Linked DNA regions of Saccharomyces cerevisiae S288C. The protein of the gene in region 1 purifies or fractionates together with the protein of each later gene. This does not show direct contact. Each region holds a gene or a part of one and is shown in the gene's direction. Other genes may lie near its edges.

The links.
Region 2: the proteins of DDI1 (region 1) and SNC1 purify together in Saccharomyces cerevisiae (affinity purification with western blotting; 2 studies listed by BioGRID). This does not show direct contact.
Region 3: the proteins of DDI1 (region 1) and HO purify together in Saccharomyces cerevisiae (affinity purification with western blotting, with the first as the bait; 3 studies listed by BioGRID). This does not show direct contact.

What each region holds. Positions count from the first base shown.
Region 1 is NC_001137.3:453,925-458,864, forward strand, and holds DDI1 (Ddi1p), read left to right. Parts: upstream 1-2,394; coding exon 2,395-3,681; downstream 3,682-4,940. Other genes in the region: COX15 (Cox15p), read left to right, coding at 1-995; MAG1 (DNA-3-methyladenine glycosylase II), read right to left, coding at 1,222-2,112; putative ubiquitin-specific protease UBP5, read right to left, coding at 3,882-4,940. UniProt on the Saccharomyces cerevisiae protein: Aspartic protease. Appears to act as negative regulator of constitutive exocytosis. May act at the level of secretory vesicle docking and fusion as a competitive inhibitor of SNARE assembly.
Region 2 is NC_001133.9:85,342-88,252, forward strand, and holds SNC1 (SNAP receptor SNC1), read left to right. Parts: upstream 1-1,944; coding exon 1,945-2,046; intron 2,047-2,159; coding exon 2,160-2,411; downstream 2,412-2,911. Other genes in the region: protein phosphatase regulator GIP4, read right to left, coding at 1-1,690; MYO4 (myosin 4), read right to left, coding at 2,514-2,911. UniProt on the Saccharomyces cerevisiae protein: SNC1 and SNC2 are vesicle-targeting proteins essential for normal secretory traffic between the Golgi and the plasma membrane. They may also be involved in vesicle fusion.
Region 3 is NC_001136.10:45,771-49,670, reverse strand, and holds HO (Hop), read left to right. Parts: upstream 1-1,639; coding exon 1,640-3,400; downstream 3,401-3,900. Other genes in the region: Hsp70 family ATPase SSB1, read right to left, coding at 3,765-3,900. UniProt on the Saccharomyces cerevisiae protein: Initiation of mating type interconversion. This protein is a site-specific endonuclease that cleaves a site in the mat locus on chromosome III.

The sequences.
Region 1 (4,940 bases):
TAGACGAGTTCAAGTTTATATTTTTTATGGAGTGGATTCATAGATTGTGGGGTCGTGCTATCGGCGCTGTTTTTATATTACCTGCAGTTTATTTCGCTGTATCTAAAAAAACTTCAGGCCATGTCAATAAGAGGTTGTTTGGTCTCGCAGGTTTATTAGGATTACAAGGATTTGTTGGTTGGTGGATGGTGAAGTCTGGTCTTGATCAAGAGCAACTAGACGCAAGAAAATCAAAGCCTACCGTTTCTCAATATAGACTTACTACGCATTTGGGTACCGCCTTCTTTTTATACATGGGTATGCTCTGGACTGGTTTGGAAATATTGAGAGAATGTAAATGGATTAAGAACCCTGTTCAAGCCATTAGTCTCTTCAAAAAATTAGATAATCCCGCAATTGGCCCAATGAGAAAGATTTCTTTAGCTTTGTTAGCGGTGTCTTTCCTTACCGCTATGAGTGGCGGTATGGTTGCCGGTTTGGATGCTGGTTGGGTCTATAACACCTGGCCAAAAATGGGTGAACGATGGTTCCCTAGTTCTCGTGAATTAATGGACGAAAACTTCTGTAGAAGAGAGGACAAGAAAGATCTGTGGTGGAGGAATTTGCTAGAAAACCCGGTTACAGTTCAGTTGGTCCATAGGACATGTGCGTACGTTGCGTTTACATCAGTACTAGCTGCTCATATGTACGCTATCAAAAAGAAGGCCGTAATTCCAAGGAACGCGATGACCTCTTTGCATGTTATGATGGGCGTCGTTACTTTACAAGCAACACTTGGTATTTTAACTATATTGTACCTAGTCCCAATATCGTTAGCTTCTATCCATCAAGCTGGTGCTTTGGCGTTGCTAACAAGTTCTTTGGTGTTTGCCTCTCAATTAAGGAAGCCAAGAGCTCCGATGAGAAACGTAATCATTACCTTGCCACATTCAAGCAAAGTAACTAGCGGTAAAATTTTAAGTGAAGCGTCGAAGTTAGCCTCGAAACCATTATAATGGATAAAGGTATTCTTATGAGAATTGACAGTATACTCGCTTTTCCGCTTTGTCGCTCCAATGGTTGGATTGTATGTGTGAGGCTTTTTCTTATTATATGTTGGTATCCCTACGAGAAGCTGTAAATATGAATTTCTTTAGTAGGCATCACACACAACAATAGGGTGTATTTATTTTTATTTTTTTTTTTCTTATATAAATGTCAGTAATACATGATATCTTTAAGTTAGGATTTCACGAAATTTTCTTCTGCCTTCATCATGGCATCTGTATTTGTGCTCGCGAGCCTCCAAAGTATGAACATAAACACAGACCTATACGGAGAAAATGTTTCAGAGCATTTTTCCATTATGTCGTCGTCATATATTTTCCAGTTGTATTTCTTATGCTTAATCTTACTCTTTTTAACTACTTTTCTTTCACGCATTAATTCTTTTTCCAATTCTGGCTTATCTGAAAGGTATTTTGAAAAACCCCTAGCAATACCTAGATCTTCAGGAGCAAATACATCCATTCTTTTCAATCCGGAGATCAAGAACATTTTGGCACTCCATGGGCCTATACCTTTTACATTCGTAACTAAACTTTCAATCACTTCCTCATCATTATCTTTTTGACCGAAGAGCTTTTCGATATCCTTATATTTTTCAGTAAAATAGACAGCAAGAGACTCTAGATATATCATTTTCCTTTTACTCAATCCACATTTTGCGATTTCTGCACATTTTGCTGGGTCTTTGAAGTCTTCGAAAAGGATTTTGTAATCAGGAAATGCACCGCCATAAAGACTGACAACCCTTGCCTTGATGCTTTCAGCTGCTTGGCCACTGATCTGTTGAGACAAAATTGTGCTTGCAAGCCTAATAAAATAATCTTCGAGTGTATTAGGGACTTGAGTCTCCTTCAAGTACAACGTAAATTCATTATTCTTAAGTATGGGAAAAAGTGATGGATCTTTCTCTAAAATGTGTTCGCAAGCCATATTGAACTTTTCTTCATGTCTAGCAATATATTTCTCAGGAAGAGCAACCTCTAGAGGTCGAGACCCTAATTCTTTTGCTATTTCCTTAACAGCGTCTGCTTTTATTAACTCATCATACTCCCTTTTTAGTTTCATTGAGACCAATCCCTCTCTAGCTTCTCTTGATTCTCAGTAAAAAATTAAAAAGGAAAAGTACCACTTCCATCGTCATATCAGAGGGCAGTGGCCAATTCTCATTGATTCATAGATAACTTAAACTTTATGTAAGAATTCCCGTCGCCACCCCGCCCTGTAAATTCATCGCCACCGAAAAGATAATAATACCAAAATGATATATAAAGTAGGTCGAATAAGAAAGTATACTTAACGTAGTTAACAAAGTACATACCAAACATAACAGCAAAAATATACGTAAAGATGGATTTAACAATTTCAAACGAACTTACTGGCGAGATATACGGCCCAATTGAAGTCAGTGAAGATATGGCTTTAACTGATCTAATAGCATTACTGCAGGCCGATTGCGGGTTTGACAAAACAAAACACGACTTATATTACAATATGGACATTCTAGACTCAAACAGAACTCAGTCTTTAAAAGAACTAGGGCTCAAAACCGATGACTTATTATTGATTAGGGGTAAGATTTCCAATTCCATTCAAACAGATGCTGCTACTTTGTCCGACGAAGCGTTCATAGAGCAATTTAGACAAGAGCTACTTAATAATCAAATGCTTAGATCACAACTCATTTTGCAAATCCCTGGATTGAATGATTTAGTAAATGACCCACTGTTGTTTAGGGAAAGATTGGGCCCGCTCATATTACAAAGACGTTATGGTGGCTATAACACCGCCATGAATCCTTTTGGCATCCCCCAAGATGAATATACTAGACTAATGGCCAACCCCGATGATCCTGACAACAAGAAGAGGATTGCAGAGCTTTTAGACCAACAAGCTATCGATGAACAGTTGCGCAATGCTATCGAATATACACCTGAAATGTTTACCCAGGTCCCTATGCTTTACATTAATATCGAAATAAATAACTACCCCGTAAAGGCATTTGTAGATACAGGGGCTCAAACAACGATTATGTCCACCAGGTTAGCGAAGAAAACTGGCCTGTCGAGAATGATTGACAAGAGATTTATTGGAGAAGCTCGTGGCGTAGGAACCGGCAAAATTATTGGGAGAATTCACCAAGCCCAAGTCAAAATAGAAACACAATATATTCCATGCAGTTTTACCGTCTTAGATACTGACATCGATGTTTTGATAGGACTAGACATGCTGAAAAGGCATTTGGCTTGTGTGGACTTAAAGGAAAACGTTCTTAGGATAGCAGAAGTGGAGACAAGCTTTTTGAGTGAAGCGGAAATCCCAAAAAGTTTTCAAGAAGGACTTCCAGCACCAACGTCAGTTACAACTTCGTCTGATAAGCCCCTAACACCCACCAAGACTAGTTCAACTCTACCACCACAACCGGGGGCTGTTCCTGCGCTTGCTCCAAGGACTGGTATGGGGCCAACACCTACGGGAAGAAGTACAGCCGGTGCTACAACGGCAACCGGGAGAACGTTTCCCGAACAAACGATTAAACAGCTTATGGATCTAGGTTTCCCTAGGGATGCTGTGGTAAAGGCTCTTAAACAGACTAACGGAAATGCAGAATTTGCTGCATCCCTCCTTTTCCAATGAGCAACCACTGATATTGTGATCGGCCTCTACGTATGTAGCCCATAACACAAATAGATAAGTATAAGGATGTACATACTTTCATTGTTTCGTCAATTGTTGTTTGTATTGTATATGATTGTACTTCTGTTAAGTATATAATATGCAGATTGTATTTGTGCCTCAATGTGCGCCATTCATGTGTTGCAAACCGGTAATTTGATTCAAAAAATTCTTTCGTAAAATAAAACATATGCACTGGGTGTGATAAATTCAGTACTAAACGTTATAGGACGATAAAGCGAGTCATCGAAAAAATACCAACCTTTTTTTGGTCCCTTATAAACGTATGAAGTATAGTGTCCCCCATACAAACTCCCCGAATGACATGCAACCCCATACAGTCTGTATCTAAATGGTGGTACTTGGCCCCTGGTAGGAATGTCCTCATTAACAATAGCTTCATGATTAAAATCTCTCGCCCAATATGGTGTAAGATCTAAGGAGTAAGGATATTGGACAAACACATTATTCTTATTCATTTGATTGTCAAATCGTTTCAAATTAATAATTAGTTTCTTAGGCAATCTAGTAATCTTCAGTTGTTTAGTGGAAGGCTGCTTTTTTAAGCATTTAGGACATGACCATTGTTCATCGACACCTAACCTTTCGCATTTGGTGAATTCCCGGAAACAGTCTAATATGTTACAAGTTTTAACGCGTGGGACAGGAACAGAAAGAACAGAGAATGTTTGGTAAGTTGTGGAGGTATGTTCACAAACTTGACATTGTAGCCTAGATGCGTACTGTCCTTGGAAAAGGTCAATTATCGCACTGAAGTCGGTAAGCAAAAATCTTTCCCACTCGAGAGCACTAGCTTTGCGTATGGACATTTTTTCTCTCATTCGTTCTTCCTCATCTGATAACTGTTTAAGATGCTTTTTGCTGCCGTTTTGGTTCAAATCCTCGTGCAAGCCATCAAGCAAAAATTGACAAAATTCTTGACAATCTTGCTGCATTGAATCACTATACATGGGGTTGATATGGCCGCAAATTTTTTTAAACTGAATAGTCTGAACTGGTATCGTTCTTACGTTAGGAGGTGTGAATGCACCGTGTCTGTGCATATTATTGACCAAGATGGCGAAATTTTTAGCTAGCAACCCCTTAGAACCTCTTGAACTATCAAAATTAATAAAATTCAGATATGTGTTATCCAAAAACATTCGAACCAAATCGTGTGTTCCCACCAAACATTGAAGTATACAGTTCATATAACAACA
Region 2 (2,911 bases), on another chromosome or scaffold:
TGAGCTTTGAAGGTGGAGCTATTGACGGATGTCTTGTAGAATTCAAATATGAGGTTTGTTGTTTGTTTGTATAGGATTGCAAAGATGAGGATCTAGGCCTTCTGCCGTTGATCAGTTTTCTTTTCTCCGGAGACACCACGCTTTTCTTCGTTTCTGCGTTTTTATTGTTGAAAGTGGTCCTTACAGGCGATACTGAGGGAGACCTAGAAGAATTTGAGGCTAAATGCGCCCTTGCCCTTGTTCTTATGCTCTCTAAAGAGGCCTGTCTTGATGGGCTTGCTGAAGATGTGGGTGAGGGGGATGGAGAAGAAGAGGCTGGCAGCTTTGTTATTGACGGCTTCTTCTTTAGCTTACTTTTCGCGTTTTTAACCTCTAAATACAGAGCCTTATCTCTTTCTAGCTTTTCTTTCAAATTCTCCCGCAAGTCATTGGTTTCATCGAAGGTTTTATAATTTTTCTCAATATATTTCCAGCAATCCATCCAATTGGATAATAATCCCATAATGGACCTCAATTTCGGTATAATCTTGCAGATATGATTATTAAACAATTCCACAACTAAACCAGGTTGAAGGTGGAAAATGGGAGTTCTTGAGGAATTGTTATCGGTACGCGCCGTTTGAGTCCAAAATTTTAAATTCTCCTGCAGTTCGAATAAAGCTGTGACATCATCACATTCTGGAGAGAGCAAAGCCATCAGCTCACAAATTATCAAATCGTAATGGTACACGTTTTCGCTGGATAATCTTGTCTTGATGTCCAAGAAATGTTGTTTATTCGGTAGGAAAATTTGCCTAGAGAAACTGATAATAACACACAAGACAGAAAAAACCCGCAAGTGGAAAGTGTATATCCTGTGTAGAGTCCATTCCCAATGTGGTAGATCCTTCTGTAAATTTGACAGTGAAGTAGGTCTTGTTTCCGAAAATTTCTGCAATTGGTTGTAATATGTCCTTAGAATGGGGAAGATTTTCGAATGAACACAGGAGTTCAGTTTCTCCATCACTTGCCATTGCAATTTGTAAAAGGAATGGGTGGACTTATCCCTTACTGGATCATTAATCAAAACGGCTAAATCTAGAATCAATGTCATTTCAACTGGATTTAACAAGTCTTCAATTATTGAAGTGTCAAATGGAAGTGACCGAGCTTTGTACGCATCCCTTTCCAATAAAATCTGTCTCAACTTGGCATTATAAATTTTTATAGCATTTTGAGCAATGCAAGACAGCGAATTTAAAATCTTCCATTGTAGAGAATTATTGTATATGCACGATTTATAGTGATCTAGGGGTACCTCCTCGGGAAACATCCAGCCCTCTACATCAATAAAATTAGTTGATAATCTCTGCTGCACTTCGCTTAGCTTTATCAGCTGGAATCGACAGAGCAAATGGTACCTCTTAGCCAATACGGGGCTTACATTAAATATAGGACCCTCACAAAGTGATAAGATGAAATTAACGAGGGGAATAATTTTGTAGGACTCGTCATTGTCTCTTTTCTTCTTCAAATGCGGTACCAGAACGTTTAGTAGCCTATTCAGTTCATTCAGCTTGTAAAGAGCGTTCTTATATTGAATGATTTTTATATCATACGAGTCCAACGGAACAGAACCTTTGATTGCCGGAATAGAAGCGCTGGCAGCAGCTTTGGCTAGCAACTTTTTTCTCTTTTGCACATCTACCATGTTGTAATATAAAACTAGTCTAAATCCTCAACCTTCAGCTTCCAATCACTCCTTTTATCATTGTTCATTCGCTAACAAACTTCAAACATATGCCTTTATTATGCGTCTTCCTGCTGTTTCAACCATTGATTGCAGGGTAACAGACATTTTTAAGGGTCTTTCCCACAGCATCTATAAGAAAGATCGTCAAAAGTATTAGTTAAACATTGAAAATTTGCGCCAAAGACATAGCAAGCGCAACGTATTCATTGTCCATGTCGTCATCTACTCCCTTTGACCCTTATGCTCTATCCGAGCACGATGAAGAACGACCCCAGAATGTACAGTCTAAGTCAAGGACTGCGGAACTACAAGCTGTAAGTACAGAAAGCCACAGAGTACCATCTAGGAAATTAACATTATACTAACTTTCTACATCGTTGATACTTATGCGTATACATTCATATACGTTCTTCGTGTTTATTTTTAGGAAATTGATGATACCGTGGGAATAATGAGAGATAACATAAATAAAGTAGCAGAAAGAGGTGAAAGATTAACGTCCATTGAAGATAAAGCCGATAACCTAGCGGTCTCAGCCCAAGGCTTTAAGAGGGGTGCCAATAGGGTCAGAAAAGCCATGTGGTACAAGGATCTAAAAATGAAGATGTGTCTGGCTTTAGTAATCATCATATTGCTTGTTGTAATCATCGTCCCCATTGCTGTTCACTTTAGTCGATAGAAGTTCACTCGCAATGCTATATATATAGGGAGCTTCCATATGTAGTGTAGGATATATGTATATATACATATATACATATATGGGCGTATATTTACTTTGTTCTTATTTTCTGTCTAATTTTATAATTTTACTGACAGTAGCTAAGCCCTCTGTATTGCTGTTCTGTGTTATTGCACTAGTGTCATAACGCAGATGGTTTTTAGCAGAGTCAAATTGGGCAGAAAGCATAATTTCCATCTTCCCTGGCAAAGACAGATTTTCTCTTTTGATCACGTTAGCTAAATAATTCAAGATTTCGTTCGGTACTCCAGCTTCGCCCTTGTTAGCAGGCTTGTATTTCAACAGAATTGCTTGTATTTGGGCTGGATTCAAGGCATACCAGAAATCGAATAGTAACTTGAACTCGTTCAAGTTGCTTATCTTCAACTGTAATATCTTGACAGCCTGAATTATTTGAATCAAATTGGGACGAACGTCTTCAATTCTTGGTTCAAACCAGC
Region 3 (3,900 bases), on another chromosome or scaffold:
CCGAAAAGCAATTACTCTCTATGTTAGTCATACAAACTGACTTCTGTGAGAGAATTATTTTCATATCAACGTAAGATCACATGGTTCCTTTATCAAGTACTACTATCATTCCATTATATGACCTATTTACTTCTTGAATCTTAGAGCTCATAATTCAAGCAAGTTGCGGAGCTAAGAATTTCACATGTTGTTGAACTTAACAATCTTCATTATACCCAATCGCTGCGTGCTGGAATTATGTTAAAAGTTACATCCTTTTTTTCATTTTTCCCTACGCTCAGGGCACTGTACTGCCCGTGCCTGCGATGAGATACATCAATTTAAAAAAAAAACCAGCATGCTATAATGCTGGAGCAAAAATTTCAATCAGAAATAGAAAAGACCTCAACAGTAATTAACCCAAAGGGGTATCAAATAATCGATGTGCTTTTTCACTCTACGAATGATCTGTGAGAAACTGATTTGGGCCGAATCGCGTAAAAAGTTTGATTCGTGGCGGCTAATGTCTGAGGGGCTCCAACAGGCTCGTAGAGCCTCGTTTCTTGAGGGCACAAAATGTCCAGGTAATATTCCCAAGAAAGAACCGCAGAGTGCTTTGATAAATCGGTTACAGGTCTTAACGTAGGTTTTGTCTCGCTAATTGCTATTGAGTAAGTTCGATCCGTTTGGCGTCTTTTGGGGTGTAACGCCAAACTTATTACTTTTCCTATTTGAGGTTGGTATTGATTGTTGTCAAAGAATGAAAATATACACAAACGCCACAATATACGTACCAGGTTCACGAAAACTGATCGTATGGTTCATACCCTGACTTGGCAAACCTAATGTGACCGTCGCTGATTAGCGGATCACGAAAAGTGATCTCGATACAATTAGAGGATCCACGAAAATGATGTGAATGAATACATGAAAGATTCATGAGATCTGACAACATGGTAGACGTGTGTGTCTCATGGAAATTGATGCAGTTGAAGACATGTGCGTCACGAAAAAAGAAATCAATCCTACACAGGGCTTAAGGGCAAATGTATTCATGTGTGTCACGAAAAGTGATGTAACTAAATACACGATTACCATGGAAATTAACGTACCTTTTTTGTGCGTGTATTGAAATATTATGACATATTACAGAAAGGGTTCGCAAGTCCTGTTTCTATGCCTTTCTCTTAGTAATTCACGAAATAAACCTATGGTTTACGAAATGATCCACGAAAATCATGTTATTATTTACATCAACATATCGCGAAAATTCATGTCATGTCCACATTAACATCATTGCAGAGCAACAATTCATTTTCATAGAGAAATTTGCTACTATCACCCACTAGTACTACCATTGGTACCTACTACTTTGAATTGTACTACCGCTGGGCGTTATTAGGTGTGAAACCACGAAAAGTTCACCATAACTTCGAATAAAGTCGCGGAAAAAAGTAAACAGCTATTGCTACTCAAATGAGGTTTGCAGAAGCTTGTTGAAGCATGATGAAGCGTTCTAAACGCACTATTCATCATTAAATATTTAAAGCTCATAAAATTGTATTCAATTCCTATTCTAAATGGCTTTTATTTCTATTACAACTATTAGCTCTAAATCCATATCCTCATAAGCAGCAATCAATTCTATCTATACTTTAAAATGCTTTCTGAAAACACGACTATTCTGATGGCTAACGGTGAAATTAAAGACATCGCAAACGTCACGGCTAACTCTTACGTTATGTGCGCAGATGGCTCCGCTGCCCGCGTCATAAATGTCACACAGGGCTATCAGAAAATCTATAATATACAGCAAAAAACCAAACACAGAGCTTTTGAAGGTGAACCTGGTAGGTTAGATCCCAGGCGTAGAACAGTTTATCAGCGTCTTGCATTACAATGTACTGCAGGTCATAAATTGTCAGTCAGGGTCCCTACCAAACCACTGTTGGAAAAAAGTGGTAGAAATGCCACCAAATATAAAGTGAGATGGAGAAATCTGCAGCAATGTCAGACGCTTGATGGTAGGATAATAATAATTCCAAAAAACCATCATAAGACATTCCCAATGACAGTTGAAGGTGAGTTTGCCGCAAAACGCTTCATAGAAGAAATGGAGCGCTCTAAAGGAGAATATTTCAACTTTGACATTGAAGTTAGAGATTTGGATTATCTTGATGCTCAATTGAGAATTTCTAGCTGCATAAGATTTGGTCCAGTACTCGCAGGAAATGGTGTTTTATCTAAATTTCTCACTGGACGTAGTGACCTTGTAACTCCTGCTGTAAAAAGTATGGCTTGGATGCTTGGTCTGTGGTTAGGTGACAGTACAACAAAAGAGCCAGAAATCTCAGTAGATAGCTTGGATCCTAAGCTAATGGAGAGTTTAAGAGAAAATGCGAAAATCTGGGGTCTCTACCTTACGGTTTGTGACGATCACGTTCCGCTACGTGCCAAACATGTAAGGCTTCATTATGGAGATGGTCCAGATGAAAACAGGAAGACAAGGAATTTGAGGAAAAATAATCCATTCTGGAAAGCTGTCACAATTTTAAAGTTTAAAAGGGATCTTGATGGAGAGAAGCAAATCCCTGAATTTATGTACGGCGAGCATATAGAAGTTCGTGAAGCATTCTTAGCCGGCTTGATCGACTCAGATGGGTACGTTGTGAAAAAGGGCGAAGGCCCTGAATCTTATAAAATAGCAATTCAAACTGTTTATTCATCCATTATGGACGGAATTGTCCATATTTCAAGATCTCTTGGTATGTCAGCTACTGTGACGACCAGGTCAGCTAGGGAGGAAATCATTGAAGGAAGAAAAGTCCAATGTCAATTTACATACGACTGTAATGTTGCTGGGGGAACAACTTCACAGAATGTTTTGTCATATTGTCGAAGTGGTCACAAAACAAGAGAAGTTCCGCCAATTATAAAAAGGGAACCCGTATATTTCAGCTTCACGGATGATTTCCAGGGTGAGAGTACTGTATATGGGCTTACGATAGAAGGCCATAAAAATTTCTTGCTTGGCAACAAAATAGAAGTGAAATCATGTCGAGGCTGCTGTGTGGGAGAACAGCTTAAAATATCACAAAAAAAGAATCTAAAACACTGTGTTGCTTGTCCCAGAAAGGGAATCAAGTATTTTTATAAAGATTGGAGTGGTAAAAATCGAGTATGTGCTAGATGCTATGGAAGATACAAATTCAGCGGTCATCACTGTATAAATTGCAAGTATGTACCAGAAGCACGTGAAGTGAAAAAGGCAAAAGACAAAGGCGAAAAATTGGGCATTACGCCCGAAGGTTTGCCAGTTAAAGGACCAGAGTGTATAAAATGTGGCGGAATCTTACAGTTTGATGCTGTCCGCGGGCCTCATAAGAGTTGTGGTAACAACGCAGGTGCGCGCATCTGCTAAAATGTGTATATTAGTTTAAAAAGTTGTATGTAATAAAAGTAAAATTTAATATTTTGGATGAAAAAAACCATTTTTAGACTTTTTCTTAACTAGAATGCTGGAGTAGAAATACGCCATCTCAAGATACAAAAAGCGTTACCGGCACTGATTTGTTTCAACCAGTATATAGATTATTATTGGGTCTTGATCAACTTTCCTCAGACATATCAGTAACAGTTATCAAGCTAAATATTTACGCGAAAGAAAAACAAATATTTTAATTGTGATACTTGTGAATTTTATTTTATTAAGGATACAAAGTTAAGAGAAAACAAAATTTATATACAATATAAGTAATATTCATATATATGTGATGAATGCAGTCTTAACGAGAAGACATGGCCTTGGTGACAACTCTCTTCAAACCAACTTCAGCCTTTCTCAATTCATCAGCAGATGGGTCTTCGATTTGCAAAGCAGCCAAAGCATCGGACAAAGCAGCTTCAATCTTGGACTTGGAA